7 linked regions of the Canis lupus familiaris genome follow. The protein of the gene in region 1 interacts with the protein of each later gene in a pairwise test. Links are inferred from orthologs where the notes say so. Each region holds a gene or a part of one and is shown on either strand. Other genes may lie near its edges. The genes, in order: CBY2, METTL17, CKS1B, SYCE1, DZIP1L, KIFC3 and MMAB.

Region 1 (4,157 bases):
AGGATCATGCCCTGAGCCGAAGACAGATGCTCAACTGCTGAGCCACCCAGGCGTCCCCATTTCATGGTCCTTTGTTTGGGCACCCCCACGAAATGAGCACGGCTGGTTCCCTCTTTGTTTAGATTTCCTAGATCAGCGCCCAAGGGCGATGTACAGGTGCTTCTATGAGGTGCATCTATAAGGGAAAGCTGAACTGAGTTTTCCAGTGGTGTGAGAGTTAATCACTAGAAACCCTTGGAGAAACAGAAAACAGGCTTTGACAGGGATGTGGAAAAACTGGAACCTTTGTGAGCTGTTGATGGGAATGTAAAAGGATGGCACAGCAGCTACGGGAAAACAGTATGGAAATTCTTCAAAAAATTAAAAATAAAACTGTATATAATCCAGCAATCCCACTTCTGGGTATATATCCAAAAGAATTTAAAGCAGGATTTTATTATTCACAAGGAGTGCCCCCGAACACACCTGACTTTATGCTAATGAAGTGACCCTTGGTGGCCCCTAGATGGCTTCAGGATGGGCACTAGTTGCTAGAAGAATCAACTATGTGATTAGAGGTTGGGAACTTTCAAGTATTTCACCTCTCCACTTCTGGGAAATGGGGGATGGGGGGTGGGTTGGGCTGGAAATCTTTAATCACCAATGGCCAGTGATTTAATCAACCTCGACCAGGTAATGAAACCTCCATAAAAACCCTTAATAGGGTTAGGAGAGCTTCTGGGTTGGTGAACACATGGAGAAGCTGGGAGGATGGTATGACCTGTGAGGGTGTGGAAGCTCCATGTCCTTCTCCCCCTATACCTTGACTTAAGCATCTTCTATTTGGCTGTTTCTGAGCTGCATCTTTTATAACAAAAGTAATTGTAAGTAAGGTGTTTTCCTGAGTTCTGTTAGCTATCCTAGCAAATTACAGAGGTGCGGAGGGGTTTGTAGGACCCCCGCCAATTCATAGCTGGTCATTCAGAAATACTCGTGGCCTGAGAGTTGTGACTGGTGTCTAAAGTCTGGTGTAGGCAGTCTTGTGGGACTGAGGCCTTTAACTTAGGTGACCTGACACCCACTCCAAGTAGATTGTCTAAGAATTGAATTGAATTATAGGACATACAGTTGGCCTCAGAGAATTGGAGAATTGGTTGGTGTCAGAAAATATCTCAGACTCCGTGGCTTCTCTTGGTCTGAAATGAGTTCAGTTTGGATTTCTCCAAGTAGAAGATGCTAGCTCTAGAGAGAAGGTAGGGCTTACAGCCCAGCCAGGCAGTGGCGATATGAATAGTAGCAAAGATGACCAAATAGGGGGCTAATGTTTGGGTTATTGTGTGTCACACTGACCCTGACCAGCCAGGTAGACATAACCAGGGTGACTCTTCCTGTCAGGTGCCTCATTCCCACCTGTGATGCTCAGAGAGACCATGAGCCCTGAAAAACACCGTATTTTTTTGTGATGTCACCTCTGGAATGTTCTGAGTGTTTTGGTGACCAACTCCTACATAGGACCTATACCTGGCACCTAACATTGGTATGGCTTTTTACTTGAGATAGAAGTAATAACCTTAGAAAAGGTATTAGGTATGGGTATCTCTGCTCCAAAGACTTTTTGGAAGGTTTTTAACACCAACTATAAAATCTGTCTTAATTTCTGTCTAGAGATTGATAAGCATCTTTTCAGATACTATCTTCACATTGTTTCAGACTCAGATTTTCATAATGTACATAGTTGACAAGAGGGGATAAGTGAATAGAAAGTCATCTGTTTTTCAGATTGAGCAATTGAAGCTCAGAGGATGGGCTGGGAAGCAGATATCGTTTTATTTTCTCTTTTCCCACAGCACTCGAGGCCAAGTATTGCAAGAAAAAGAGATACCAGATCTGAAAGCCTAGAAATTCCAATCAATGTGGTTCTGCCTCAGGTAGGGATAATCACAGAAGGGTGCAACTTCCTTGTAACCGGAATAACCCTCCTCTTTCAAGACTGTAGCAAGATATTGTAGAATGAACAGGGTAGTCGGGACCTCTAGTTGCCAACTAGCTGTGTGCCAAGGGGAATTCACTTAGCTACTCTGGGTCTTCAGTTTGTCATCCCTCAAATGAGGAAGGTGGGTTCGGTGACCTGGTAAGACCTCTCAGCCCTCATAATGCTTACAGTTTCTATGACACTCTGAAGTAAGCCACATTCTTCCCAGACTTCAATGTTTTGGTGCTTGCTATTGTACAACCATTCCGGATTTCTGGGAGAGAATTAGAACTGAGACTTGGAACCAAATGCATATGACTGAATCCATGAGTAGAAAGCCCAGGACGTGGACCAAGAGGTACAGGGTGATTTGGAGGTGCCAAGGGAATTGAGGCCTGCTGGATACAAAGACAGAGTGGAAGGGGAACTCAGAAAGGAGGCCCGTAAACGGATGAAGTCTTGACAGTCTGGAGAGTCTCAGGTGTTGTCCTGCTAAGCAGCCGTTTCCTTGGTGGGGTTCTCCTGACTGGATTGTTTCTCCTGCTGCTATGTCACAAAGGGGCAGCCTTGCTTCTCTAGAGTCACCTAAGGCACTGTTGGAAGATCATGGCTGTGCAACCAGAGGGGCTGAAATGTAGGCTGGAGGAATCCAATGCAGAGGTAACTACCTGAAAGCGAGGTACAGGGTGTGTAGGAACAGGATCGAGTACCAGTGGGCATCCTATATATATACTTATTTATTTATAGTAACATATATTTAATATATAATTACATATATAATATATAACTACATAATTATATCTAGTACACATAACAAAATGATATATACATGTTTTCTAAAGCCGTATCTTAAGGATTTTGTGAAGAACAAGATGACAAAGAAGAACTCTGTCATTCTTTCAATAGGTGGAGATAATTGTAACAGTCTGGGCAAGTATATTCAGTAGGAGGGAAAGACAGGACAAAAGAACATTCTGGCTCTTTGTTTTCCCCTTATCCTTATAACTTTGTAGTGAGCAGCCACTTCATCAGTTTCAGCTCATGAAGCCTAGACTATAAGCTACTTTGTCCTGATCATTAGACAGGATGGCTTGCCCACAGGGTTCCTACAGCTCAAGGAACCTTGCTTTAGGTCTGATTCTTTCCACTGAAATGCCATGTAGTTCTGCTGGCCACTACTCCCCTGAGGGTGGGTGTTGTGCCTTTGGTTTGTTCACAGCCTCACTAAGGGACAGGAAGAGGGTGCCAACCTGAGGGTGAGGTTGGGGATAGGGGCAGGAATAGGATTTTTTTTTTAAGATTTTATTTATTCGTGAGAGAGAGAGAGAGAGAGGCAGAGATACAGACAATGGGAGAAGCAGGCTCCCCACAAGGAGCCTGATGTGGGTGGGACTCAGGGGCCCCCCGGGATCATGACCTGAGCCAAAGGCAGATTCTCAACCACTGAACCATCCAGGTGCCCCAGGAATAGGATTTGAAATAGTGGTCATGTGATAAAGAGATTGGAAAAAGTCTTCTGTCTATACCTAGTACAACTCTCCCCGCGTAGGTCCCAGAGATAGGCCAGCCTGAAGGAGGAGAGAAGGTGAACAGAACCTGGGGGGTGGTTTAAGAAGGCTCAAGCTTGTTCTGGGGCCATTCACTTCCTGCACTGCAGGACTTGGTGCTGCTGTTGTGGTTTTGGAGGGCACGGAGGGCACGGAATGTATACCCCTCATGGGTACACCTGCCAGGGAGACCCAAGTCATACACCAAGTTTCAGACACCTGCCAGGATGCTCTAGGCTGAAACTGTGAGGGAGGGGTGTGGGTGTCTATAAATTTAGATTATCTGGACTGTGCCACCACCAGGACTGTGAAGGGACCAGTGTACTCGTTAGACCTCCCCAAATGAAATTGTGCATGACTCAGGGGAAATTGACCTGGTTAACAAGGGGAGGAAAAATAGTGACTGAGCACTGGTTTGGTCATGTGGCAGGCACTGGGCAATGCTAGTGTGAGGTAGGGATTGTATAGGCATGGGAAACTTGAGCCCCAGCAGCCTCTCCAGTAATGGCAGAGCTAGATAGGGGGTTGAAAGCAGGCCAGTGTCCACTCTCTCCGCTACACCACAAGCTAGGCCTATGCCACCTGGTGGGGCCAGGTCACATCTTAGCTCTCTCTGTTCTCTTGCCTTTAGGAAATAGCGCCTCCTCTGTGGGCACCTT
Region 2 (4,002 bases), on another chromosome or scaffold:
CACCCAGGCATCCCTAACCTGCCCAGGTTTAAATCTAATTGTCATCTAACAAGCTCTGCGATCCTGGGCGTGACCTCCAACCATTTACTCCCTTTCTCCGTCTCCCGGACGCCTCGCTGCGTGGATGGGCTTCCCGCAGCATCGGGCACCTAACCTTCTGCGCGTTACCTACTCGTCCAAGCGCACAGCGTACTATGTGGAATAACATGGGGAAAAGAAAAAAAAAAGAAAAAATCTATGGACTATCATTTTGTTATCCTGGGGGGGGGCCTCCATTTGCTTTTTCTTATCTTTCCCTAGCTGCATTCGCCGTTCGCACACAGGAGGGGGACCCCAAGACTTCGGAGTCTTCCAGAGAGAAAGGCTAGGAACACAGGTGCAGTGTTTCCCTGTGTCCGGCGCGGCTCCGGGGCGCCCAGGAAGGGGCTGGTCCCCGCCCGCCCATCCGACCCCCGGACTTCGGGACGCGAGCCTCGGGGCCCCGCGCCCACCCGGGTTCCAGCTGCTCTCGGGGCAGCGGGGCGCCCGACCCCGCCCCCGGACCCGCCCTCTATCCTGGCCCCGCCTCCGGCCCCGCCTTCTACCCTGGCCCCGCCCACTGCCGGCCCGGCCCCACCTTCTACCCTGGTCCCGCCTCCGGCCCCGCCCACTGCCTGCCCGGCCCCGCCTTCTACCCTGGTCCCGCCTCCGGCCCCGCCCTCTGCCCGCCAGCCCCGCGCCCACCCCGCTTCCAGCTGCTCTCGGGGCAGCGGGGCCGGACTCCGACCCCGGCACCTCCCTCTATCCTGGCCCCGCCTCCGGACCCGCCCACTGCCGGCCCGGCCCCGCCTCCTACCTCGGCCCCGCCCTCCATCCTGGCCCCGCCTACGGCCCCGCCCTCTGCCCGCCCGGCCCCGCCTTCTACCCTGGCCCCGCTTCCGGCCCCGCCCCCTGCCCTCCAGCCCCGCTCCCACCTGCTCTCGGGGCAGCGGGGCCGGACCCCGCCCCCGGCCCCGCCTCCGACCCCGCCCTCTGCTCGCCCGGCCCCGCCCTCTATCCTGGCCCCGCCTCCGGTCCCGCCCTCTGCCCGCCCGGCCCCGCCCCCACCCGAGCGCAGATCCCCTCCGAGGTGATACCGACCGTTTATTGGCCACCAGAAGCACTCGCTCTTCTCATTGGCTGACGCTGCTCCGCGGTCACAGGTCTCGTCATTTCCGCTTCCGGCTCGCCTCCGGCACCATGGCGACCGCGCGGGGACTGCGGCCGCTGCTGACGCTGAGCCGGTGTAGCCGCGGGCGCGGAGGAGCCCCCGGAGCCCCCGGGTCCCGAGTGAGTGCCCGCTCCCCGCGCCGGAGGGACCCCGGGGCTCAGGAACGGCGGCGCTGCCGCGGGTGGGCGCTCCCGGCCGCGGTCAGCGTCTCCGTCCCGCCCGCAGGCGCTCGCGGGGGTCGCGCCGGGCGCGTCGCAGGTGGACAACAGCTCCGGCTTCCTGGGGCGGAGGCCACACCGCCGGCACCCCGGCGTCCTGCAGCTGCCGTGCGTGCGGGTGCCGCCCGTGCTGGCCGCCGCGGCGCGGGCCCTGCTGCTCGGTGAGTGGCGGGGCGGGGCGGAGCGAGCCCCGAGGCGGAGCGGGGGGCGGGGGCCGGCGGCACGCGGCTGACGGCGCTGCATCCCCGACCCGCAGAGAGCTCGCTGCCGGGCGTGGAGGCGCAGGTGCCGGCGCTGCGCAACTACCTGTGGAGCCGCCGTGTGCCCGTCGAGCCGGAGGAGCTGCAGAGGCGCGCGCGGCGCCTGGAGGAGCGGCTGCTGGAGGACGCAGGTGGGGCCTGCAGGAGAGTCGGCCGCACGGAGGGCCCGCGTCCCGCCGAACGGGGTCCTCCGCTGCCCTTGCCTCTCCCGGGCGCCCCGGGTCGGGACGGCCTACGTTTGTGTTCCGGGAACGCGGCTCCCTAGCGGGCCCGGAGGCCAGGCAGGGCTCAGCGAGCCGCTCTCACGACCGTGAAGCTTCTCCATCTCACACACCTGCCTTTATGCATCCCGTGCTCCCCGCTCTCCCCTCACCCGGTGCAGCGTAGGCGCTGGGGGGACACGGCCCGCAGACCCACGCCATCCTGAGCCCCAAGACTTCCAGGCCCCGCTTTCTTCCCTCTCGGAACGTCGGAGACGCCACAGCCCGGAGAAAATCCACAGAATACCGTGCTTACGCGATGCTCTTCAATCTTCGAGATGCTTCCCTTTATTTTTTTAAAGATTTTATTTATTTATTCATGAGAGACACAGGCAGAGGGAGAAGCAGGCTCCACGCAGGGAGCTGGATGCAGGACTCGATCCCGGGACTCCAGGATCACGCCCTGGACCAAAGACAGGTGCTAAACTGCTGGGCCACCCGGGGATCCCCAACACTTCCCTTTAAAATAGCGCAAAGTCGGGGATCCCCGGGTGGCCCAGCAGTTTAGCACCTGTCTTTGGTCCAGGGCGTGATCCTGGAGTTCTGGGATCGAGTCCAGCGTCAGGCTCCCTGCATGGAGCCTGCATCTCCCTCTGCCTGTGTCTCTGCCTCTCTCTCTCTGTCATGAATAAATAAATAAAATCTATAAAAAATAAAAGAGCACAAAACCTGTGGGGTGGGGTTGGTATTGATGAACGAGCTGCCGTTAGACGCAGGCTACCATCTGATTCGCCGTGGCGGTGATGGTGCTCGCGGTGACTCCTACCTGAGATTTTTTTCCCCCCTAGGTTGGGCTTCTCGTGAGCTTTGAGGTTTTGCCCAGGATGGGAGCTGCAGAGGACGTGGGCAGGCCGATCTTCAGCTGTTGGATCTGAGCCCTGTGCGTCCCCGGTCCCCACCGTGGATTCTTGTTCTCACCCTAGACGTCCCCCCGGCAGAGGAGAGGCTTCGCCAAGCCGTGCTGCAAACCCTGCGCAGAACTACCTACCATTGGCAAGAACTGACGTAAGGTGGACTAGAAAGGCTACAGAAGGGGAAAGAAATCTTGTCTTTAGCTGGAGACTGGGGTAGCACAGAGACACAGTCCACGTCTGGGAGGCCTGCCCGGTGTGTAGCTCAGGACCCCTACCTTCCAAGGAGTGAGAGTACTCAGCCCCGGGAGTAAGAGTTCTCCCCTCTCTAGAGATTTCATGCCTGTGGGATGGGCGTTATTCCCTGGTGGCTGTGACTCTCTGGTTTTTCTGGCAGCTACAATGAGAGACTGAGCCTGGTATATATGGCGGCAAGACTGGATGGCGGCTTTGCAGCGGTCTCCAGGGCGTTCCATGAGGTGAAAGCCCCTCAGCTTCCAACCCTTAACCATCGCTTCCTTTATGCATAAAGTGGTCTCCTGGGGTATGATTCTAGGGACAACGCATGCACTTTTTTTTTTTTTTTTTTTTTTTATTTATTTTTTAAAGCAGCTCTGTTTATCCTCTGAAAGGATTTTGTGACCCAAGAAAGGTCTAAAAATCACTGTTTCAGGAGGTTCCCATTGTATTAAGTGTTTCCATTGACTCTCCAGGAACATTCACATCTCATCTGGCCTGCCGTGCTCCCCTGATGCAGAGGGGCCGTAGAGAGGCATCCGCTAACTCTGCTGTGGGGTATTGTGTGTTTCTGCAGATCCGGACTCGAGTTCCCAAGTTCCAGCCCCAAACCCTAATGGACTTTGGCTCGGGTACCGGCTCTGTCACTTGGTAAGTCTCTTTCAGTCTGTCATTTCTAGCTCTAGAGAGCCTTGTACGACACCCCAAGACACTGGGAGACCAGACGGGGAGAATAGGAGAGAGTAGGGAACTAGAATGTTTAGTCCCTCGGATCGGGTAAGACGTAAGAGGGTATGTGGATTAGGGCCAGAACTTAAAGGAACTTCTGATGAGCAAAAGACCCATGTTTAGGAAGATAAAAAAGAAACGGAATTTAGTCCAGGGCATATCACCAGATGGTTTTTTTTTTGTTTGTTTGGTTTTTTGTTTGTTTTTTTTTGCCTACAGATCGTTTTTTGAGTCTGCCCTTTTTTTTTTAAGGAGTCC
Region 3 (4,222 bases), on another chromosome or scaffold:
GACCAGGAGGAATGCCCAGACAAGAGCTCTGCTTGGGGGGGAGGGGAAGAGCCCAAGAAGCGGCGGGGGCTGGGGAGTCCCTTCCAAAAAACTAAACAAACAAAAAAACTCAAACAGCAAAAAGGCCACTGTCCCCTCCACCCACGCCAGGCCACCGTTTCCAGGCAGCAGGACACTCTAGCTCCTGGTGCACCCGCAGGTTGCACGCCAACCTCACGGCCCTACCAGCTCCCGAGGTGCGGGTGCTAGCCCTACAGCTGTCTCTGGGGCGGAGTCTGTCCTGGGCTGGGAACCCAGGAGCAAGTCTCTCGGCCCCTTTGGCGCCAAACCCCAAGTCCAGGCCCCTCTCCGCGGGGCAGGGGGAGGGGCAAGGGAGGCGGAGGGCGGCCCCTGACCTCGCCCGGCTCGCCCCACCTGCTGGAGCAGAAGCACTGGCTCCGCAGAGCTGAGCCCCAAGCCCAAGGAGAAGAGAAGCTGTGTCAGCAAGGGGCTTCGGGACTACCACAGCGCTCCGAGGGGCGGAGCCCGCCCCACTCTGGACGCTGCCCAGGGGGAATGGGCCCCACATCACGGGTACCGGGCACTGTAAGAGGCGAGGCTACAGCACCGCCCGACGCCATCAGGCGGGGGGCGGGGCCTCTCGGAAGGCGTAGCCTCTGGGGCGGGGCTGCCGGCACTCGGCCGGGCCTCGGAGGGGCGGGGCTCTGGCCTCCTGGGGGACCCGTCGCCAGAAGGCGAAGAATCGGAACTCAGAGAACTACCGTCAGGTTTCTCACAGTCGGACTTGGAAGCATGTTCGGGGGTGGGACTTCCAGGAAAGCTGGGCAGCAGGGTGGGGTCGTGGACAATACACAGAAAACAAGTCGGGGTTCGGGGAGCCCCCTGAAGATGGGGGTGGGACTTCCGGGGAGGGGGGTCTCAGGGGGCGGGACTTGCACATGAAGACCGGAAGTAGGGTCCCGGGAGAGGGGTTCCGGGGTGGAGGAATGGGTCACCTTAGGAGAGGGAGAAGACCTAACTCACCAGGGCCTCATGGAGTCTCCGCACCGCACCGCGGCTCGATTTGGTTCCGGATCACGCCACTGCCTCCTTAGGTCGCCGTTCCAACTTTCTCCCCGGCCTGGCCTCCCTGAAGAAACTTTATTGCACTCACTTCCGGCCTCACTAACCCCTGACCCTCTACCTCAGCGTCCCTCCTTCAGCCGTCCCACTTTGCCGAATCAGCCAATGGCAATGCGAGAACGCGCACGGGGGCAGGAATAGCCAATTAGAGGCATATTTTTTCCCTACGCTCATTCTTGACTAACGTAAGCAGCGCGGTCCAATAAGGACTCGAACAGAAGCAAATCTAAACCAATCGGCGGCTTGAAGGTGGAGTAGTCCCGCCTTAAACCATGGGGTCCAATAGGAAGCGCGGGCGGCGTGTTTGAAAGCTAGGCCAAAGTGGGTGGGAGCGCGTGCTGCTGGGAGTTGTTTGGAGGTTGCCGGAGTGGGCCTGACGGTCCTCAGGCTGAGTGATCATGTCGCACAAACAGATTTACTATTCGGACAAATACGACGACGAGGAGTTCGAGTACCGGTTAGTGCCGCCGCGGGGGCCATAACGAGGTCGTGAACTTTGACAAGTGAGGGCAAGAGGAGTTAGTCACCGGGGCTGAAGCAACAGGACCGGCGCATGCGCGGGGGACTCCCGGGGCGCGGGCGCGGAGCGTAGCAGGGCGCCTGCGCGAGGGCCTGGCGGCGAGAGGGCGCGGACAGCTGCGGACCGCAGTGTGTCCCGCGCCGGGGAGCGGGCGGAGGGGGCGTGCCTAGAGCTCGAGGCCTCCGCACCCCGCACCATGCGGGGTTCTGGATCGTTCTGGGAGCTTCCCCGGGCACGTGGAGGTTGCCCGCTGGGGCGTGCTGGAAAGAAGTGGCCGCAGCGGTGCTGAACGATCCGGGAAAGGGGGCGCGGGCGTGCGGCTCGTGGGAAGGTCTGACCCGGCGACGCAGCGCCGCAGGCTCGGGAGTTGCGCCCGGGCACGGTGTGACGGAGGCAGCGCCGCCCCTCCAGGAGGAGTACCAGGGAAGAGCGAGGATGCTGCCCGCGTGCCGTTTTGGCTTCTTCCTGGAAGAACGTGGGATGGAGACTTGGCAGGCTTGCGTTTCCTTCCCGGCCAAGTGCGGGGCTCCGGGGACTCGGCGTGTGCTGACCCTTGGGGGACCCAGGCCACTTAGGTTTCTTTCCGCCGCTGACTGTGCGCTGCCACCTCTGCAGAGCTAGTTTCAGCTCCCCGAAGTTGTAAGTCCGGGCGCTGGCGTTGGGGGGCGTCGGTCGGGTCCGATTAGGGATCGAAGACGCTGTTTGTGAAAGAATTTGCTACTAGTACACACCTACTGTGTTTTCCCTGAGCATGATGGGGTCTATCTGGAGTAGCCCAACTCAGGTGAGAGTAAGGATTTTTTTTTTGCCATGAAAGGAGATTTATCCTTGGTTAGGAAAACCTGGGGTTTCCCAAGAGGAGTCTCATGGCAACTCTTTTCAGAGTTGGGAAAATGAAATGGAGGGTACATTTCAGAGGAGAAGATATTCACATTTCATCCTTGTGATGGCTCTTCCTCACAGCGCTCCACAAGAGGCCTTTCTTCTCCACAAAACCAGCCGTTTTCAAAACTACCTTTAATAATTAACGCTGTGAGTGTCGTGGGGCTGCCCTTAGATCGTTCTAATCAGCTAGCAGACTGAGCTGGAGGAAGGCAGGGGCGCGGTGTCCACAGCGCCTGTTCACTTGAGTTACTCACGCGTGCTTTTTAACATACTTGGGGGGACGATTTGCATAATCTGGCCTTTATTTCTAGCTGCCTCTGCCCCATGATAAGAGTACATAAACTCTCCCATTGGGAACCAATTTTTTCTTTTCTTTGCTCTCTTGGCTTTGTACACAAGCATTTGTCTAACACAACTGCACCCAGTACTGATGTGATCCCTCCGTGTTTCTGTTACAGGCATGTCATGTTGCCCAAGGACATAGCCAAGCTGGTCCCTAAAACCCATCTGATGTCTGAATCTGAATGGAGGAATCTTGGAGTTCAGCAGAGTCAGGGATGGGTCCATTATATGATCCATGAACCAGGTCGGTGCGATGGCTGAAAACAACCATTTAGGGCTCCTTGGCTGAGGAAAAGAGGAATGATAAGATGGTATAACCCAAAGAAATAGAGGTGAGGGTGGTCTATTGGTTCCTCACCAGCCACCTAGAAAAATCAGAGTGATGGGATCCCTGGGTGGTGCAGCAGTTTAGCGCCTGCCTTTGGCCCAGGGCGCGATCCTGGAGACTCAGGATCGAATCCCACGTCGGGCTCCCGGTGCATGGAGCCTGCTTCTCCCTCTGCCTATGTCTCTGCCTCTCTCTCTCTTTCTGTGTGACTATCATAAATAAATTTTAAAAAAAATTTTTTTTAAAAATCAGAGTGACAAAAAAGAGTCAAGTACTGGGAAGTTCAGAAGACAACCTGTCCCTGAAAAAACTCTTTCAATCTCTAATTCAGTCTGAGCATCACACACACACACCCGTCACCCTTTTTAAGGCCACAAACACCCTGGTAGAGGTTATGGATCCTGCATCATTCTCCATGAGAAAGCAAATTCTCAGATGTGTCCCAAATAAGCCAAGGGAAGTATATTTCTTGATAAGACACCAGACCCACAAGCAGCCAGGCAAATCTAATAAAGGAGGTGGGCAGGGGATGGGGGGGCTGTACAAACACAGCAAAGGAACTGATGCTAATAGTTCTCTGCTTAGCAGACAGGCCCAGCTTTAGGGTCTGCTTCTGAGGCCATATGCTTACATCTTAATGTAGTTCTAAAGGTCTGAAATGGGAAGGGGACGCACTACACACTGCAGAGACCAGGGTGAGCGTGTCTCTTCAATGTCACTCTTTCAGAACCTCACATCTTGTTGTTCCGACGGCCACTGCCCAAGAAGCCGAAGAAATGAAGCTGGCAGCCACTTTCCAGCCTCAAGCTTTACACAGCTGTCGTCGCTTGCTAACATCTTCCTGATAACATCATTATGTTGCCTTCTTGTTTTCTCACTTTGATATTTAAAGGATGTTCAGTACACTGTTTGTGCTGCTGACTGTTTTGCTTGAGCAGAGCCAACAGCACCATGGCCCGGCCAGTTGAGTGCTCTTTGGGCTGCAGCCTCAGCTGAGCTGTGTACCCAGCAGAGCACACTTGGTA
Region 4 (2,825 bases), on another chromosome or scaffold:
GCCAGAACAGACCCCAAGAGGAAGCAGAAGCCCCACCCCAGCCCTCTCCTGGGGAGGTATTCAGAGACTGTGAGAGCTGCCTTGCCTCTTCCCAGGAAGCATACCATGCTGCAGGAGTGCAAGGAGCGAATTTCTGCCCTGAACTCCCAGATTGAGGAAGAGAAGAATAAACAGAGGCAACTGAGGTAAAGTCCCCGAGGCCAGGCAGAGTGGTGGTGGGTAATATTAGGGATGGGGCTTAGAAGAGCTGGCTGAGGTGAGGCCTGGAGCCTCAAGGTGGTGAAGGTGCTTCCCACAGAGCAGAGGACGTGGGCAACTTTCATATGGTCTATGCATGAAGACCCCTGGCTTGGGCCAAGGTGGGGAGGAATGTCTCAGCACATGGCTCCTCATCTTGTGTGGTTGGTCTGCAGGTTGGATTTTGAGGAACAGCTAGAGGATCTGATGGGCCAGCACAAGGACCTCTGGAAGTTCCATGTGAGTCACCCAAAGCCATTCCTCCCACCTTTCACATCTTCCCTGGCAGTCCCAGGCCCAAAACTCATGATCATGCTGCAGGCCTCCTTCCTCTCATCTGCCACCCCCAGCTCCTGAGCTAGCATGGGTGGTCATATGTCCAAATGGCCCTTAGCTCAATCCCTCGTCATCATCCTCACTGCCACCCGGTGTCCTTCTCTTCACTGGGCCTGCCCATTCATCCCTTCAGGGGCCAGGAGGAACCCTGATGAACCAAGGAGAGGTAATCCATAGAGCGGATAGGAGGGTGTGTCTGCAGCCATGACTGACACAGGGCACACAAGTGGGGATCCAGGCAGACCATCCTGACCACCTAGGAGTCCAGAGAGAATAAGTGTTAAGATGGAGGGGCTCAGTGAGGAGGCCACACAAAGGCAGGTGGAGCTGCAGTGCCAGGCTGGTAACTGATTCTCCAGGGAACAGTTGTGATTTGTAATGTTTTCGGGATGTCCTGTAAGAAATAGTTGCCTCAGACCTGATCTCAAAACTGGCAAAGTTCCTGAACATTAACCACCTCATGAGCCTCAAATGCAGCATCACAGGTATCAGGCGAGACAGTTCCAGGTGCAGACAGTAGCCAGTACAAAGGCCCTGAAGCTGGAACATGCCTTGTGTGCCCAGAGGCCCAGAATAGTAGGAAGTGAGGCAGGCTGAGTAGAGACCAGATCCAGATAGACTTCTCTGAAGGGCATGGGAAGAGGCTGGAACACATGGACAGGCCTCCTCTCTACCTACTCAGGGGCCAGAGCAGATGGCCCGGGAGATTGACACCCTGGACAGCAGCAAGGAGCACCTGCTCAAAGAAGGTGAGAGCGAGAAGGGGGAAGCCCTGATTTGCCCTGCACTGCCCTGCCGTACCCTGCCCATTGTCCCTTCTTGCTGCAGAGAAGCTTGTGGAGGCAAAGCTGGAAGATGTGAAGCATCGTCTGTGTTCCCAGTTTGGGGCTGACGGCTGCTCAACCATTGCTGAGGGGCTCTTTCTCCGCAGCCAGGAGGCTGCAGCTGCAGTGTAAGACCAAAGAGGACAGGGACAGGGAATGGGGTGGAGGGACGGAGTTTCCAGTGCTGATGGCCCCACCCTCAGGCATCTGTTTGAAGAGGAGAACAGGAAGGCCCAGGGGCTCCTGGATGCTGCTACACATCACCATGAGCAGCTGCAGCAGAAGTGCCAACAATTGCAGCAGAAGAGGCAGAGGTGGGCATGGAGGCCCTGCCCCCAGTCCCCAAGAGGAAGGTGGCTGTGAGGGCACCTCTGCTCCCCTTTCAGCTCATCTCCCCATTTCTTTACACCCTCTTGTCCCTTCTCCTCCCCCCTCCCCATACTGACCCCACCCCTTTCTGTCCAGGCTTAAAGAGGAGCTGGAAAAGCTTGGGATGCAGATCCCTGTTCAAGCCCAAAGCAAACAAGAGGAAGGGGCTGGCCCAGGAGAACCTGTGAGACCTGGAATTGGGTGGCAAGGAGCAGAGATAGCTCATAAAAGGAGCTGGGTAGAGGAAGGCAAGGAAGGGGAATCACAGAGTCCTCAAAGATGCTCTTTGGGGAAGGGTGTTCTCATAGGGCATAACCAAGACAGGAGTACAGAGGCTGGCAGTGGTGGGGTGGGAAGGGGCACATCCCAGTAAGGCTGTGGGCACAGGGGTGCACAGAGACTTCGCTTCTCAGACCCTGACCTCCCACAGGCCAATCCTAAGCTCCTAGGAGTCATTCAGGAGAAAGACCCAGAGATGCCCACCAAGGAAGGCCCTATGCCCTCTTAGGCAAGAAGGACTCTCCCTACCCTGGAGCCTATTCAGTGCCATGAACTTCAAGAAATAAAATTACTATTTCAGTACCACTGTCTCAGCTGAGTTTGTGCAGGGGTGGTAGGGCTTGTCCAGCCCAAGACCCTTGACCCCTGAGGCTGGGTAAAACCTTGGCCACATCTCCATTTGGCCTCAGCCAGAGTTCGACGGGAGGTGCCCAGTATGTGCTTCCCTAACCTCATAGTCTCTGCTCATTTCTAGGACTACACACCCTGTTTTGGATCTCCAGGCAGAAAGGTGCACGTTCTGCAAACTCACCCTGTGATTATTTGAATTTGTTACTGAGGCCTGAACTATACAGAACCTACAGAACCTGGAAATCCCAAACATGAGGAACAAGGTGCTTGGGATCTCAGCCAGTCCCTTACCCACAGTCCCCACCGACTAGCTGAGAAAAAAATAATTGGAAGCCAAGTGTAGTTTCTGCTCTTGTGGGCACAAAATACATAACTGACATACCTGTCTATACAACACAGTATGTTAGAATTTTCCATGTCCTGGGAGTC
Region 5 (4,266 bases), on another chromosome or scaffold:
TAACAATTTTCAAATGTACAATTCAGTCGCATTAAGTACATTCACATTGTTGCACAGCCAACACCACTATTCATCTCTAGAACTTTGCCATTGTCCCAGACTAAAACTTTGTACCCATTAAACAATAATTTCCTATTCCCTACACTCCCTCCACCTCACCCCAGCCCTTGGTAACCACTATTCCACCTGGAATATCTCTATGAATTTAACTATTCCAGTTACCTTATATAAGTGGAATCATAACATTTCTCCTTTTTGTATCTGACTTCTCTCACCTGGCATAATATTTCTAAGGTTCATATTGTGGCATGTATCAGTATTTCGTTATGCTTTAAGACTGAGTAATAGTTCATTGTATGTATGTAGCACACTTTGTTTATCCATTTATACCTTGATGGCCACTAGGGTCGTTTACACCTTTTGGCAATTGTGAACAATACTGTTAGGAGCATGCGTCTACAAATACGTTTTAGTCCCCGTTTCCATTCTTTTGAGTAAATACCCAGAAATGGAATTGCTGGATCCTACGGCAATTTTATTTCTGTCACAGCAGCTGTACAATTTATATTCCCACCTGGCGTTCCATTTTCTCTCTTTTCTTTTTTTTAAGGTTTTATTTATTTATTTTTATTTTTATTTTATTTTTTTAGATTATTTTTTAAAATTTTTATTTATTTATGATAGTCACACACAGAGAGAGAGAGAGAGGCAGAGACATAGGCAGAGGAAGAAGCAGGCTCCATGCACCGGGAGCCTGATGTGGGATTCGATCCCAGGTCTCCAGGATCGCGCCCTGGGCCAAAGGCAGGCGCTAAACCGCTGCGCCACCCAGGGATCCCCTATTTATTTATTTATTTATTTATTTATTTATTTATTTATTTATTTATTTATTTATGAGAGATACAGAGACACAGAGAGAGGGAGAGAGAGGGAGGGGGAGGGAGAAGCAGGCTCCACACAGGGAGCCCGACGCGGGACTCGATCCCCTGGTCTCCAGGATCACGCCCTGGGCCGAAGGCAGGCGCAAACCGCGGAGCCACCCAGGCGTTCCTCCACATGCTTGCCAACACTTGTTTCCATACACTCTTGCTTGGGCTGCCCCAAGACACAGAGTTTGGCAGACTGAGACTGGAGTGGGAAGAAGGCCTTAAAAAAAAAAAAAAAAAAAAAAAAAAAATCCCAGCAGTCTGGGGCTCGGTAAAGCTGTGAGTAGCTGGGAATCGGGGACCAGCATCCGGGGAGGAGGAGTTCTCCGCTCCCGAGTCGCGGCGCGGGCGCACGGGGCGGGCTGGAAGGCCGGGTCGCGGCGCTGCCCCTCGGGACGAGCTCGGCGAGGGCCCGGCTCACCCGCGGGCCGCCCTTTGTTGCGTGTGTGGGGACTGCAGCACCTCCATCCCCGGGCTTCCCGCGCCCGCGCCCTCAGCGAGGCCAGCGAGCCACTCTCGAGGATCCCGGACTCAACAAGGCATTCCCCCGCCCCCCTCGGTAGCCGACTTAAAAATAGCTTGTCCCGGGGGCGCTGGGGAGAGGCTCCACCCCCGTCTGGGTGGCGTGGGGCGCCGTCCCGGGAGCCCGCGGCGTCGGAGACCCTGGGCCTCGAGCTGCGGGCGCGGAAGGCGCTGCTGCCCTCGGGTCCGCGGGGTGGGCGGCAACGGGGAGGGCGTCCCGGCTCCCCGCCGCTGGGGTGCACCCCCGGCCCGCGCCGGGGTTCGGGGAGCCGCCTCCGGGAGGTCTAGCCGGGAGGCGGGGCCGGGGCCAAGCTGGGGAGCCCGCACCTCTGGACCTCTGCCGGCTCCGGAGGCCCCCAGGTGAGCAGGACCGCGTGGGAAAGCTATGGCAGGAATTTGGCCCCGGGAGGGGCGCGGGTGGGTGGGGAGCGCCCTCGCGGTGCCACCGTGCGGTGGGTGCAGCAGGCCGAGGGCGGTTAAACATTAGCGGCTGGGGCGCGGGGTAGGGGTCCAACCCGGGAGCCGCGGGAGCTGCACTCCTGCGCGGACTGCTTACCGCGGCTAGCGGCGCCCGGCTCCGCCCCTTGCCCCGCCCCGGGCCTCCCTGGCCACGCCCCTGGCCACGCCCCTGCCACGCACTGGCCGCCCATTGTCCCGCCCATTGTCCCGCCCATTGTCCCGCCCCCGGCCACGCCCCTTAGCCGGCTCCGCCCCCACCTCCACTCTCACAGCTCACTCCAGACCGAGGTACTCCCGGAGGGAAGCAGGAGTGACTGCACCTCGCCACCCACCCACCCACCCCCCCCCACCCCCCCGGACTGTTTCCCTGGGTGGACAGACTCGGATGCTTACTTTTTGAAAAAAGTGAAATGATTTGGAGGGCTTGATGCTTTGAGTTCTGCAGGTAAAGGGGGATCTTTTGATAATGAGATGATTTAAAAACCAAAAATTGGCATCTCTGGTTTGTTCCTCTTGCATTCTGGGGCTAGGGTTTAGGAGGAGGCAGCGACGGTATTTTCCTTTTGAGGTGGCCGCAGGTAAAAGTCCAGGGAGACTTGCTTTGTACGGGAGGAGGGTCTAGAAGGGGGTCTGGAGGGCTTGGGCCGGGGCTCCCCTTCACCCAGCACTCCTTAGGGCCCAGGACGTCCCCTCCCTCCCCTGCACCTGGGGGGGGGGGCATTGTCTCTGGGAATTTGATTTGTAAAAGAACTTCGAAGAGAGGCCTGGTGAGTGTGAGGTTCTCTGACTATGGCCTCTCTTTCATCTGCAGCCAGGGTGGGTGGTCCACTCCTGTGTCAGGGAGGTCCCTCATCACTTTCTCCTGGCCTCCTGGAGCTGAGGATTGACCAGTGAGAACAATCCCTCTTAGAGAAAGCTGGCCCTCCAGTCAAGTGGTTGAAAAGCCATCTTTTTTCTGGCTCTGTCAGCACCAAGAGACATCTTCCTCATGTGGAAATAGTTTTGGATACCATCCGACTTGATAAAATGGTCCCATGGAGTCATATGCTTCAGGTTGGGAACAGAAACCTGAATTCCTTTGTGGAATATAACTGGGTTCTGCCACAAAGCTGGAGTTTGGTCAAAGGCTTGTGGCTCTTGTTCTGACAGGAGCAGGGATGGGGGCAACATGGTGGGCTCTTCTGAACCACCTTGTGCGCCCTTTTCAGAGAGGGCGGGTCCTGGTTAGGTGGGTTAATTACCTGCAGTGCCAGCTGTTGCTAGGCTGCGCACCTCCAGGGAGGATCTTGTGGGGGTCTGATGGCTGAAGCTGGAGAAAGTCTACCAAGAAACAATGACTGTTCCAAGGGAAAGAAAGCACCAGTATATTCTAAACTCCGTTCCTTTAGATGTGAAAAGCAGGGCTGATTTTTGACAATTCTGCACCTGAGAAGACAGGTCATGTCAGTTTGTAGTCTTCCCCTCTATAATATTCCTGAGCGATGCCAGCCAAAGCCCTAGCCCTGATTTTTCTTTTAAAGAAGATTCTCTTGTGGCAAAAAGTTAAGAGAGGTTTTTGACAAAACCGTTGGTGTTGTCTTTTAAAAAGATCTTCTTAGAAGGAGATACAGGTCTTCCGTTACGGAGTGGATGTCACGGGGATAAAAAGCAGAGCGTAAAGAATATGGTTAGCGATATTGTGGTAGTGATGTAGCGGGACAGATGGTGGCTACACTCCCGGTGAACATAGCCTAAAGTCTAAACTTGTCGAATCACACCTGAAACTAATGTGTAACATTGTGTGTCAGCTATACTAAAAAAAAAAAAATAAATAAAAAAAAAATAAAAATACCTCCTTAAAGTTACTGGGAATGGAAGCCAGAACCTTGATAGTTCTGGGAGCAGGTGCAGCCCCTGTGGAGGGCAAGGAGTGGAAATGGCACACTTTTTTTTTTTTTTTTTTTTTTTTTTAGAAAACAACAGAATTAGGGAATAAAGCCTAAAATCTGTAACGATAGTGTTCCAGGAGAACTTCCGAGTCACTCTCCTTTGGGATTTGTAGGGCTCCCTTGCCTAAGGCTTGTATATAACCTATTTGCAAACTGTGTGGGAGTTTCCTTGGCAACCACAACAATTAACATTAATGACAAGCCTGGGCTCCTCAGGGCAGGTACTACTGGGGTGGCTCTGGGAGCCAGGGCAGGCTTGTCAATGATTGCCTGGCAGCTGCCTTGGTAGCTTGGCTCCCCTAACAGCTCCTCTTGGCTGCATTTTTGAGGAAGCAGAAGGTACGGTAAGGTGGGAGCAGCGGTGGTATACTCTAGCTGTCCATTTATATTTAAAAATCAGAATTTAAAAAGATCAGTTGTTTGGTTGACTT
Region 6 (3,476 bases), on another chromosome or scaffold:
CCTCCAGGAGGCCTCCTGGGACAGGGCTGGAAGGGCAGTGGCCCTCCTCCCAGGAGGATCCCCCAGCGCTGACCCCTTCTGCTCCTGTGGCAGCCCTAGTTGGAGAGAGGGCCCCACTGAGCCCCTGTGCACATTCCCTGCTGAGGCCGAGGCCAGACCAGGTGGAGGCCAGCACAACCCCCATGGGGTTGGGGAGGGCAGTCTTGTAGCACCGGGAAGAGGGTGGTACCCACCCCTAGCCAGTTCCCTTAAGGGGCCAGCCCAGCCCTGCTGGCTATGGTGCTCAAGCCTCTGAAGAGCCCAAGTTTCCCACGTACAGACAGGATAGCGTGTTGCTGGGTGGGTCCATGTGATGGGCGTGGCCAGGGGCACTAGATCCTCTCAGTCGTGGCCTTCACGAGATCTCAAGAGGGCTGTGGGTGACCAGCCAGCAGCAGGGAGCTGTCCCTGGGCTTGTCCCTGTGATCTGACCAGGAGCTCAAGAGACCCAACTCTCAGACTATCGTTGTGTAAAAAGGTTTTTATTTTAATAAGTAAAAATGGCTAAGCTTCCAAAAGTTCTTAAATAGGATTTCAGAGGAGGAAAATGTCAAGAGGCCAGTGAGCAAGGCGAGAGCCTGGTGCCAGGCAGATGAGGGGAGCAGCAGGATCCCCACCCACTGGCCTCCCACCAGCCATAAATACAGCCCAGCCCTCGGCAGGGAGGGCCACGCTCCTATGTACACCTAGTCACACTATACACGTACCCACTCGGGGCCTGCCTCGGAGGGGAAGGGGGCCAGGGCTGCCCCAGCGTGCCCACCGACTGCCCAGATTCACGGCTCCTGGGCCTGCTGGGGGCTCTTCAGCCCACCCGTTACAGACAGGCCCTGCAGGCTGGAGCGAGTTGGCCCAGGCCAGAGGCCCAGCCTCCCACACTCCTGCCCTCCCCACGAGGATCTGCTGACGGCCCGGGCCTGCCAGGCAGAGTGGGCCATCTCTGCCCTTCCAGCCCGGGCCTTTTGCACCCACACCCACTGCCGAGAGACACCATTTCCTTTGGAACATGTTTTCTCATTTCTGAGTGGATACGAGGCAGAAGAGATGCCTCCACTCTGGCCTTCGCCTCCTGGGCTCTTGGTGCTACAGCAGGTGGATCCAGTCCCCGGTTTGGCAGGGTGGATGCGTCCGTCACACAGGCACCGGCCTGGACTTCCCTGCGGGAGCGGGAAAAGGCTTCGTCAGCCTCTGTGCACGCGATCGGGAGGGAGCCAGGGAGAAGCACAGACAGCAGGCAGCAGCAGGACAGGCCCGCCCTGAGCAGCCCTCTCCCCGGCACAGCCCTGCAACCCAAGGCAGGCGGGCAGGCGGGCCCGGGCCCCTGGCCCCACACTCACCTGGAGACTCTGCAGCCCCAGCCGTCAGGCTGAAATCAAAGCAACAGGTGTCTCACTGGTGGGCTTGCCTGGGGCTGGGACTCCCCGGGACCCTGTGGCCCCTACCTCCTTGGACTCCAGCCCTTGCCAGGCCCCTCTGTGAGTGTGGGGCCACTCAGAGGGCTGGGGTTCTGGATGCCAGGCCTGTGGCTGGGCTCACTCCTCACCTGGGACATGGGTGGGCCCTGCCCTTCACCCTCCCTCCCCAGGAATCCAGGCCCAGGGCAGGGGTGTCTTGAGGCCAGCCTCAGAGAATTGCCTCCTGGGCCTCAAATCAGCAGCCCTGCTAGGAGCCCCGAGGTCTGGGTTCCCCTTATGCTACCGCCTCTCCAAAGGGCCTTTGACTATCCATCTGTAAAATGGGCCTAGCAGTGTCCTGTCCTGACTACTTCCTGACTGACTACTTCCCAGGGCCAGAAAAGTTTGTATAATAGGTTCTGGAGGACTTCTATAAACTTCAAAACAAAACAAAAAAAAGGAAAAGTCCATTCAGGCAAGGGCAGTCTGGTGGCTATCCACCTGTAAGGAGGCTCACCCCCACCCCCAACCCCACAGTGGCCCCTTCCCCAAGGGCTTACCCAAGGGCTGCAGCTTCCTCCGGATAGAGCCTGGGCGGCTGTTGGTCCCAGAGCCAGGGGCTGAGTGTGCCCGTGCTGAGGGCTGTGGGGTCTGGCAAGCTGGCTCCCACTGTGGGCAGGGGTGAGCAGGTGGGCAGGGGCCATGCTGCCCTGGCTCCCCCCTTCACCGTGCTCCACCCCTGCGTTCCCCTCCCCAACCTCCTGCAAAATGGGTATGATGAGGTGAGCCCCACCTTGTTACTGAAGGAATTAGCTGAGATAATGGATGTTAAAGGGCCCTGAGCTACTACTGAGCACCTGCGTGCCAGCCTGCAACCCGCCCGCCCCCCAGCCAGCTGAGGACCACCACAGGGCGCTCTGAGGCTAAGAAGTGTTTAGATGAGAGAAGCCCCTGGCAGGGGCACCTGGTGGCTCAGCCAGTTAAGCATCTGCCTGCTAAGCATCTGCCTGCGGTTTGTTTGTAACATTTTATTTACTTATTCATGAGAGACAGAGAGAGAGGCAGAGACACAGGCAGAGGGAGAAGCGGGCTCCGTGCAGGGAGCCTGACGCGGGACTTGATCCCAGGACTCCAGGGTCACGCCCGGGGCTGAAGGCAGGTGTTTAACCACTGAGACACCAGGGATCCCTGCCTTCAGTTTAGGTCATAATCCTGGGGTCCTGGGACCAAGCCCCGAGTCAGGCTCCCCACTCAGGGCTAGTCTGCTGCTCCCTTTCCCCCACTCCCTGCCACCTCCTCGCTCCTGTGCCCACACTCTCTCCCCCACCCCTCCTTAAATAAACAAATATCTAAAATAGTGAGGCTCTTGGGTTCAAGTTCTGGCGCCAGCCCCTTCTGGCATCCTCCCTTCCCCACCACCCCAGTCTGTCCCCCATCCCAGGCCCTCCTTCCTGCCCACGACAGTCCCTATACCTCCAGATGCTCCTGGCTAGACCAGGACCCGAGCTCTGCCCTGCGGGACCCAGGGCCCAGCTCCACAGAGCGCACCCTCTCAGCGAACTTCAGGGAGTACAGAGTCTCACTGGTGTTCTTCTCCACAGGGGACACCTATGGGACACAAGAGCTCACACCCCGGCCAGCAGGCCTCCTCCCCCACCCCCAGAATTGGGAGGGGCAGCATGCTCACTGACTTTGGAGCTGCTGAGGGAGGACAAGGGTCCCTTCCCCACACAGCCTGGGGAGCCTGGGCCGCAGAGGAAGGGGGTCTCCGGTCGTGCTGCTGGCCGAGCCCTCCCAGCCTGCAGCTCACCAGAGGTCCTCACCTGCACCACCATGAGGGTCTTGCTGTCCCCACTGAGCGAGTCCTGCAGCAGGTAGGTAAGCTTGGAGTTGCGGAAGGGCACATGGCCCTGGCGGGAGCGCAGGGCCGCAATGACGTCCCCCAGAGCCGACAGCGACTTGTTGATGTGCTGTGCCTCCCGCAGGCGGCTGCCCTCAGCCCCCGACTTGCCCACGCGCTCCGAGCCCGCCAGGTCCACCAGG
Region 7 (4,171 bases), on another chromosome or scaffold:
GTCAGAGAGAAAGGGTGCCCAGTTCTCAGAGGCTCTGGGGGGGGGGGGGGGGCTTTACCTTGCCATGGACCACAGCATGCTCTCCATGAAGGATGACTTTCCCTGGGGCGGACACCAGCAGGACTTCTGACAGCATGGCTCCGGAGAACCCTGAAACACAGAGCCAGAGAGGGGATGAAAGGACCCAGATCTTAGAGATATTAGAGATGCCCGTTCAAACTTCTCATCTAACAAAAAAGGCAGCTACCATTCAGCACATGCCATGCGCCCCAAAGACTGTGCAGTGCAGCAGCACATTAAACACATCAGGAAGACTCAGGTTCAAACCCCAGCTCTTCCACTCCCCAGTGAGGTCTTCTTCACGAACTCACTCAAACGCTAGGCAACTTGATTTCCTCAGGTTACAGGAGAAGTAGAACTGTACTTACCTCGATGGGGTTTGGAAAGGTTACATGAAACAAAGCAAGCGGAACACCTGGCAGCTCTGGCATATGATCATTCCACTACGGATAGCTATTTATTGCTGGCTCTGTTCTTGGTTCCAGCTTTTATCATCGCTACTGCCGAAGGTGGAAAGTTAAGTGAAATCAGGAGCCAGAAGGAACGCCTCCCTGGACTCTTAGGCCGTTTCCCATGCCTCACGATGCTTTACCATGGGCTGCACAAACAGCTGTCGAGCCCCCTCCTGCGCGCCCACGCCAGCATCTCTGCATCACAGAGTCCCAGAAAGTGACTCGCTCGGTCTACAAGTGTTGTAGATTTTTACACATCAGGCAGAATTACCATCCGTTCAAGGCCTCACGTGCACTACCTTAACACGGTAAGGCCCGAGCCGCACTGTGAGCCGAGTACTATCGTGATTCCCCCGTTTCTTAGCGGGGGAAACTGAGGCAAGGCGCCAGGAAATCCATCCACTTGCTTGCCCAAAGCTCCGGATCACTTCAGACTCGAGCTCGCCCGGCGCTCGGGACGGACTCCCAGAGTCGGGGAAACTGAGCCAGAGGAGCCAGAAGCGCGGCCCGAGGTCGCGCTGGGGCTCAGCCTCCAACCTCGCGCCGCCGGCCGCGCGAGCCCACGTCCTCACCTGGCCTCAGGTGGTCCTGGGACCCCAAGCCCGGGCGGCTCTGGATTTAGTCCCCGAGCACCGCCCCCGTCCGGGGAAATCGTCCTATCCCTCCGCCAATCAGAGCGCTCGAGCCGTTAAGCAATTGGCTTGGCCATTGGCCAATAGATTGCTCGACCAAGCTGTCACGGGGTTCCCCGCCCCTGCCGCAAGCCAATGGGAAGCAAGCCCCTGGGCTTGTCCCGCCCCGGGTCGAGAGCCGCGAGCCAATAGAAAACGGCTGCGGAACGGTGGCGCGGCCAGCGGTAGGTGGAGTCGCCCGCGGTGCCCGGAACGGGAGCCTGGCTGGGTCAGCCCCCGACGAGCAGCCGCGCGCATGGCTGTGTGGGGCCTGGGAGGCCGCGTGGGCCTGCGCGGGGGCGTCGGCGCCCGTGGGCTACTGTGTCCCCGTTTCCAGAGCCGCCGCTCCCAGGGCGTGGAAGACGGGGACGGGTGAGTGCCTGGCTGGGAGGGTACCTGGACACCTGCCGTGGATTGCGGTGTCGTCGCCGTGGTGACGTCACACCGCTGTGAGAGCCGCTCTTGGTCGTGACGTCACCGCGGCCACGTGGGCGCCGTGGAGGCCAGACACCGAGGGTTTCTTTGTACAAATGAGAAGGAACCTCGGCCCTCATCATCAGGCAGGGCAGGCACATCCACGGGGGCCAGTTAGGCCTCCTTGCCCGGCCTCACGCTCAGGTGGGGTCTCCATTCAGAGTTTGACCTGCCTCCGAGGCACCTCATACCTCAAGACTCAGAGGCGCGCCAACACGATCCGGAGAGGCCGTCATCGTAGACCTTGAAGCTTGCACCCCCATTCCTGGGCCTCAGGACCTGCAGAGTAGCATGAATGAGTAACTGGGTCAGTGTACGTCATAGATCCAGTGACAGGACGTTTCCAATGAGCTTGTGATGCCACGTTTTAGTGTTGAAGCCCGTATTCAAGGTGTTCCCTTGCTACTTGAAAATGCCGGAACCCGACCCTGTTGTGGCAGTTCTTCATTCCTGGGTCTACTTGGAGCTTCATAGGATGGAAGTGGCCCAGATTGCCTTCTCTGCAAGAAGCCCTGGCGTGGCGGACTAGAGGCCAAGAGTTTGGGCTGGTACAAGTCAGCGTGGAAGTAAGAGAGTTTGGGTGAAGTAAGGTAGTCTTGGGCATGAATCCCAACCTTATGGTTTCCTTCCTGGGTGACCTGGGAAGGCAAGTCATCCCATGAGCTCCAGTTTTCTCAACAGTAAAATGAACGTCGTAGGTAGTTCCCACCTTCTGGGGCTGTGGGAAGATTCCAGAGATGATTCCAGGAGATGAATGCCAGCAATCCAGTTAGAACAGTGCAGAGGTTATGGAAAGGGGTCAATAAACTCTTTCCATGTTTATTAAGCATGAGCTACTCTGCAGATACATATACGGGCAAGACACAGAGCTTGTCCACAAAGGACTTAACTAGGAAGAAAGGAGGGGAATGATGTCAACAGAGATCCAAGCAGAGGAGGGGTAAGTGCCGCCTCAGGCCATAAGCAGCAAGCTGTGACCCACTGAGGGAGGTGTCGCCCTGGGCAAGCCATCCCCACTCACCACATCTTGATGTCTGTTTCTCATCAGGCCACAGTCTTCCTCAAAGACACCCAGGATCCCCAAGATATACACCAAAACAGGAGACAAAGGTAGGGGGGCAGGTGAAACATGCAAAAAAAAAGGTTAACCACCTTTTTAACGCTATTTTAAAGTTCTGCGAAATCATTCACAATCATTAAAAATTATGTAATGGATCTCACTAAATATCATCAAGTGGGGTGTGATATTTAAAAGATGCCAAAGATACCGGGAGAGAAGTGAGGATAGTGGTTACCCTTAGGATTGCAACTGAAGGGGGTTGTATGGGGGCTTCAGGGGTGCTGAGCATATTCTATTTCTTGATCTGGGTGCTGGTCACAGAGATGTGTTCAGGTAGTAGCAATTCATCAACTTGTACATTTATTTTTTTTTAAGATTTTATTTATTTATTTGAGAGAGAGAGAAAGAGCATGAGGAGGGAGAGAGGGAGAGGGAGAAGCAGGCTCCCTGCTGAGCAGGGAGCCCCACGCAGGGCTCAATCCCTGGACATCATGACCTGAGCCGAAGGCAGACACTTAAGTGACTGACTGAGCCACCAAGCGCCCCCAACTTGTATGTTTATGGTTTGAGCACTTTCCTGTTATATGTCAGGTGGAAAGTTTTTTAAAAAGAGCATATCAGGACCACCAAAAAATCTTAATTTGGGTGGCTAAACATTTTTTCACAGGGTTTTCTAACACTTTCACTGGAGAAAGGAGACCTAAAGATGACCAAGTGTTTGAAGCCGTGGGAACTACAGATGAATTAAGTTCAGCTATTGGGTAAGGCAGACAGCATTGGCCTCGAGGTTGGGTTTGAATTGGCATCAGTGTAATTCACGTGGAGCTCTTGAGAGTGCTGGCTGGTCCCCGGGGGGCTGCCAACCCTCGATGAGCGTGCCTCAGCATGGCAGCACAGGCACATGGGGTCAGTGCCACAAGGCTCCCGGGCTGCAGGCACCTTTGCCTCCCAGCACCGCCTGCTCCTGCCTGGCATCTGTCCCACGCCACGCGAAGCTGCCTCACCCCTCCATCCCTGGCTCCCCCACCCTTCAGGTGCACGTGCATGGCCGCGGCTTCTCAATGCTGCATCTGACTAGGTGAGATACTCAGGGCAGATAATGAATGACAGGTGCAGAGGTCCTGGCAGCAGAGTAGAGAAGGCCGACTTGTGGGTGTGTGTGTGAAGGTAGGGGTCGGGGGCAGAACAAGGTAAAGTGGGCAGGGGGAAATGAAGGTGCATTCTAGCATCAGCTGTTTAGAATTAGCCCATCGGCAAGCTACCCCCCCCCATCTTTGTGGGCAGGAGATCGGGGACACCAAGCTGTGGACTCTTTGTCAGATAGTGAGCGAACATCTCCATGTGCCAGGCACCACTAAGCAGAGCACCTCAGCCCACAGGCTTCGCAGAGTGCACAGTCCAAGGGGGCTGCGGTTGGGGGGCAGACAGACCTCAGAGGGGCTCCTACAGGTGGT

Evidence for each region.
Region 2: the proteins of CBY2 (region 1) and METTL17 interact in binary tests that used the Homo sapiens proteins (3 or more experiments, as listed by UniProt). The link is inferred for Canis lupus familiaris from reciprocal best matches to the Homo sapiens genes CBY2 and METTL17.
Region 3: the proteins of CBY2 (region 1) and CKS1B interact in binary tests that used the Homo sapiens proteins (3 or more experiments, as listed by UniProt). The two-hybrid records come from large-scale screens. The link is inferred for Canis lupus familiaris from reciprocal best matches to the Homo sapiens genes CBY2 and CKS1B.
Region 4: the proteins of CBY2 (region 1) and SYCE1 interact in binary tests that used the Homo sapiens proteins (3 or more experiments, as listed by UniProt). The two-hybrid records come from large-scale screens. The link is inferred for Canis lupus familiaris from reciprocal best matches to the Homo sapiens genes CBY2 and SYCE1.
Region 5: the proteins of CBY2 (region 1) and DZIP1L interact in binary tests that used the Homo sapiens proteins (3 or more experiments, as listed by UniProt). The two-hybrid records come from large-scale screens. The link is inferred for Canis lupus familiaris from reciprocal best matches to the Homo sapiens genes CBY2 and DZIP1L.
Region 6: the proteins of CBY2 (region 1) and KIFC3 interact in binary tests that used the Homo sapiens proteins (3 or more experiments, as listed by UniProt). The two-hybrid records come from large-scale screens. The link is inferred for Canis lupus familiaris from reciprocal best matches to the Homo sapiens genes CBY2 and KIFC3.
Region 7: the proteins of CBY2 (region 1) and MMAB interact in binary tests that used the Homo sapiens proteins (3 or more experiments, as listed by UniProt). The two-hybrid records come from large-scale screens. The link is inferred for Canis lupus familiaris from reciprocal best matches to the Homo sapiens genes CBY2 and MMAB.

The regions. Positions count from the first base shown.
Region 1 is NC_049243.1:5,417,093-5,421,249, reverse strand, and holds the start of CBY2 (protein chibby homolog 2), read left to right. Parts: upstream 1-1,357; 5' UTR 1,358-1,441; coding exon 1,442-1,516; intron 1,517-1,826; coding exon 1,827-1,907; intron 1,908-2,510; exon of another isoform or gene 2,511-2,557; coding exon of another isoform or gene 2,558-2,611; intron 2,612-4,157.
Region 2 is NC_049236.1:18,218,181-18,222,182, forward strand, and holds the start of METTL17 (methyltransferase-like protein 17, mitochondrial), read left to right. Parts: upstream 1-1,202; 5' UTR 1,203-1,218; coding exon 1,219-1,308; exon of another isoform or gene 1,309-1,339; intron 1,340-1,414; coding exon 1,415-1,568; intron 1,569-1,663; coding exon 1,664-1,798; intron 1,799-2,850; coding exon 2,851-2,932; intron 2,933-3,175; coding exon 3,176-3,257; intron 3,258-3,592; coding exon 3,593-3,666; intron 3,667-4,002. UniProt on the Homo sapiens protein: Mitochondrial ribosome (mitoribosome) assembly factor. Binds at the interface of the head and body domains of the mitochondrial small ribosomal subunit (mt-SSU), occluding the mRNA channel and preventing compaction of the head domain towards the body.
Region 3 is NC_049228.1:42,484,136-42,488,357, reverse strand, and holds the start of CKS1B (cyclin-dependent kinases regulatory subunit 1), read left to right. Parts: upstream 1-1,422; 5' UTR 1,423-1,520; coding exon 1,521-1,579; intron 1,580-2,985; coding exon 2,986-3,113; intron 3,114-3,924; coding exon 3,925-3,977; 3' UTR 3,978-4,222.
Region 4 is NC_049249.1:41,697,255-41,700,079, reverse strand, and holds the end of SYCE1 (synaptonemal complex central element protein 1), read left to right. Parts: intron 1-95; coding exon 96-185; intron 186-413; coding exon 414-477; intron 478-1,255; coding exon 1,256-1,322; intron 1,323-1,401; coding exon 1,402-1,525; intron 1,526-1,600; coding exon 1,601-1,711; intron 1,712-1,862; coding exon 1,863-2,014; intron 2,015-2,196; coding exon 2,197-2,207; coding exon of another isoform or gene 2,208-2,274; 3' UTR 2,275-2,325; downstream 2,326-2,825. UniProt on the Homo sapiens protein: Major component of the transverse central element of synaptonemal complexes (SCS), formed between homologous chromosomes during meiotic prophase. Requires SYCP1 in order to be incorporated into the central element.
Region 5 is NC_049244.1:34,870,189-34,874,454, reverse strand, and holds the start of DZIP1L (zinc finger protein DZIP1L), read left to right. Parts: upstream 1-1,466; 5' UTR 1,467-1,485; intron 1,486-1,791; exon of another isoform or gene 1,792-1,808; intron 1,809-2,250; exon of another isoform or gene 2,251-2,352; intron 2,353-4,093; exon of another isoform or gene 4,094-4,174; intron 4,175-4,266. UniProt on the Homo sapiens protein: Involved in primary cilium formation. Probably acts as a transition zone protein required for localization of PKD1/PC1 and PKD2/PC2 to the ciliary membrane.
Region 6 is NC_049223.1:58,001,920-58,005,395, reverse strand, and holds the end of KIFC3 (kinesin-like protein KIFC3), read right to left. Parts: coding exon 3,257-3,476; intron 3,042-3,256; coding exon 2,907-3,041; intron 2,103-2,906; coding exon 1,994-2,102; intron 1,406-1,993; coding exon of another isoform or gene 1,401-1,405; exon of another isoform or gene 1,377-1,400; intron 1,197-1,376; coding exon 1,171-1,196; 3' UTR 501-1,170; downstream 1-500. UniProt on the Homo sapiens protein: Minus-end microtubule-dependent motor protein. Involved in apically targeted transport. Required for zonula adherens maintenance.
Region 7 is NC_049247.1:17,868,490-17,872,660, forward strand, and holds the start of MMAB (corrinoid adenosyltransferase), read left to right. Parts: upstream 1-1,371; 5' UTR 1,372-1,439; coding exon 1,440-1,555; intron 1,556-2,705; coding exon 2,706-2,767; intron 2,768-3,384; coding exon 3,385-3,478; intron 3,479-4,171. Other genes in the region: MVK (mevalonate kinase), read right to left, coding at 59-136. UniProt on the Homo sapiens protein: Converts cob(I)alamin to adenosylcobalamin (adenosylcob(III)alamin), a coenzyme for methylmalonyl-CoA mutase, therefore participates in the final step of the vitamin B12 conversion.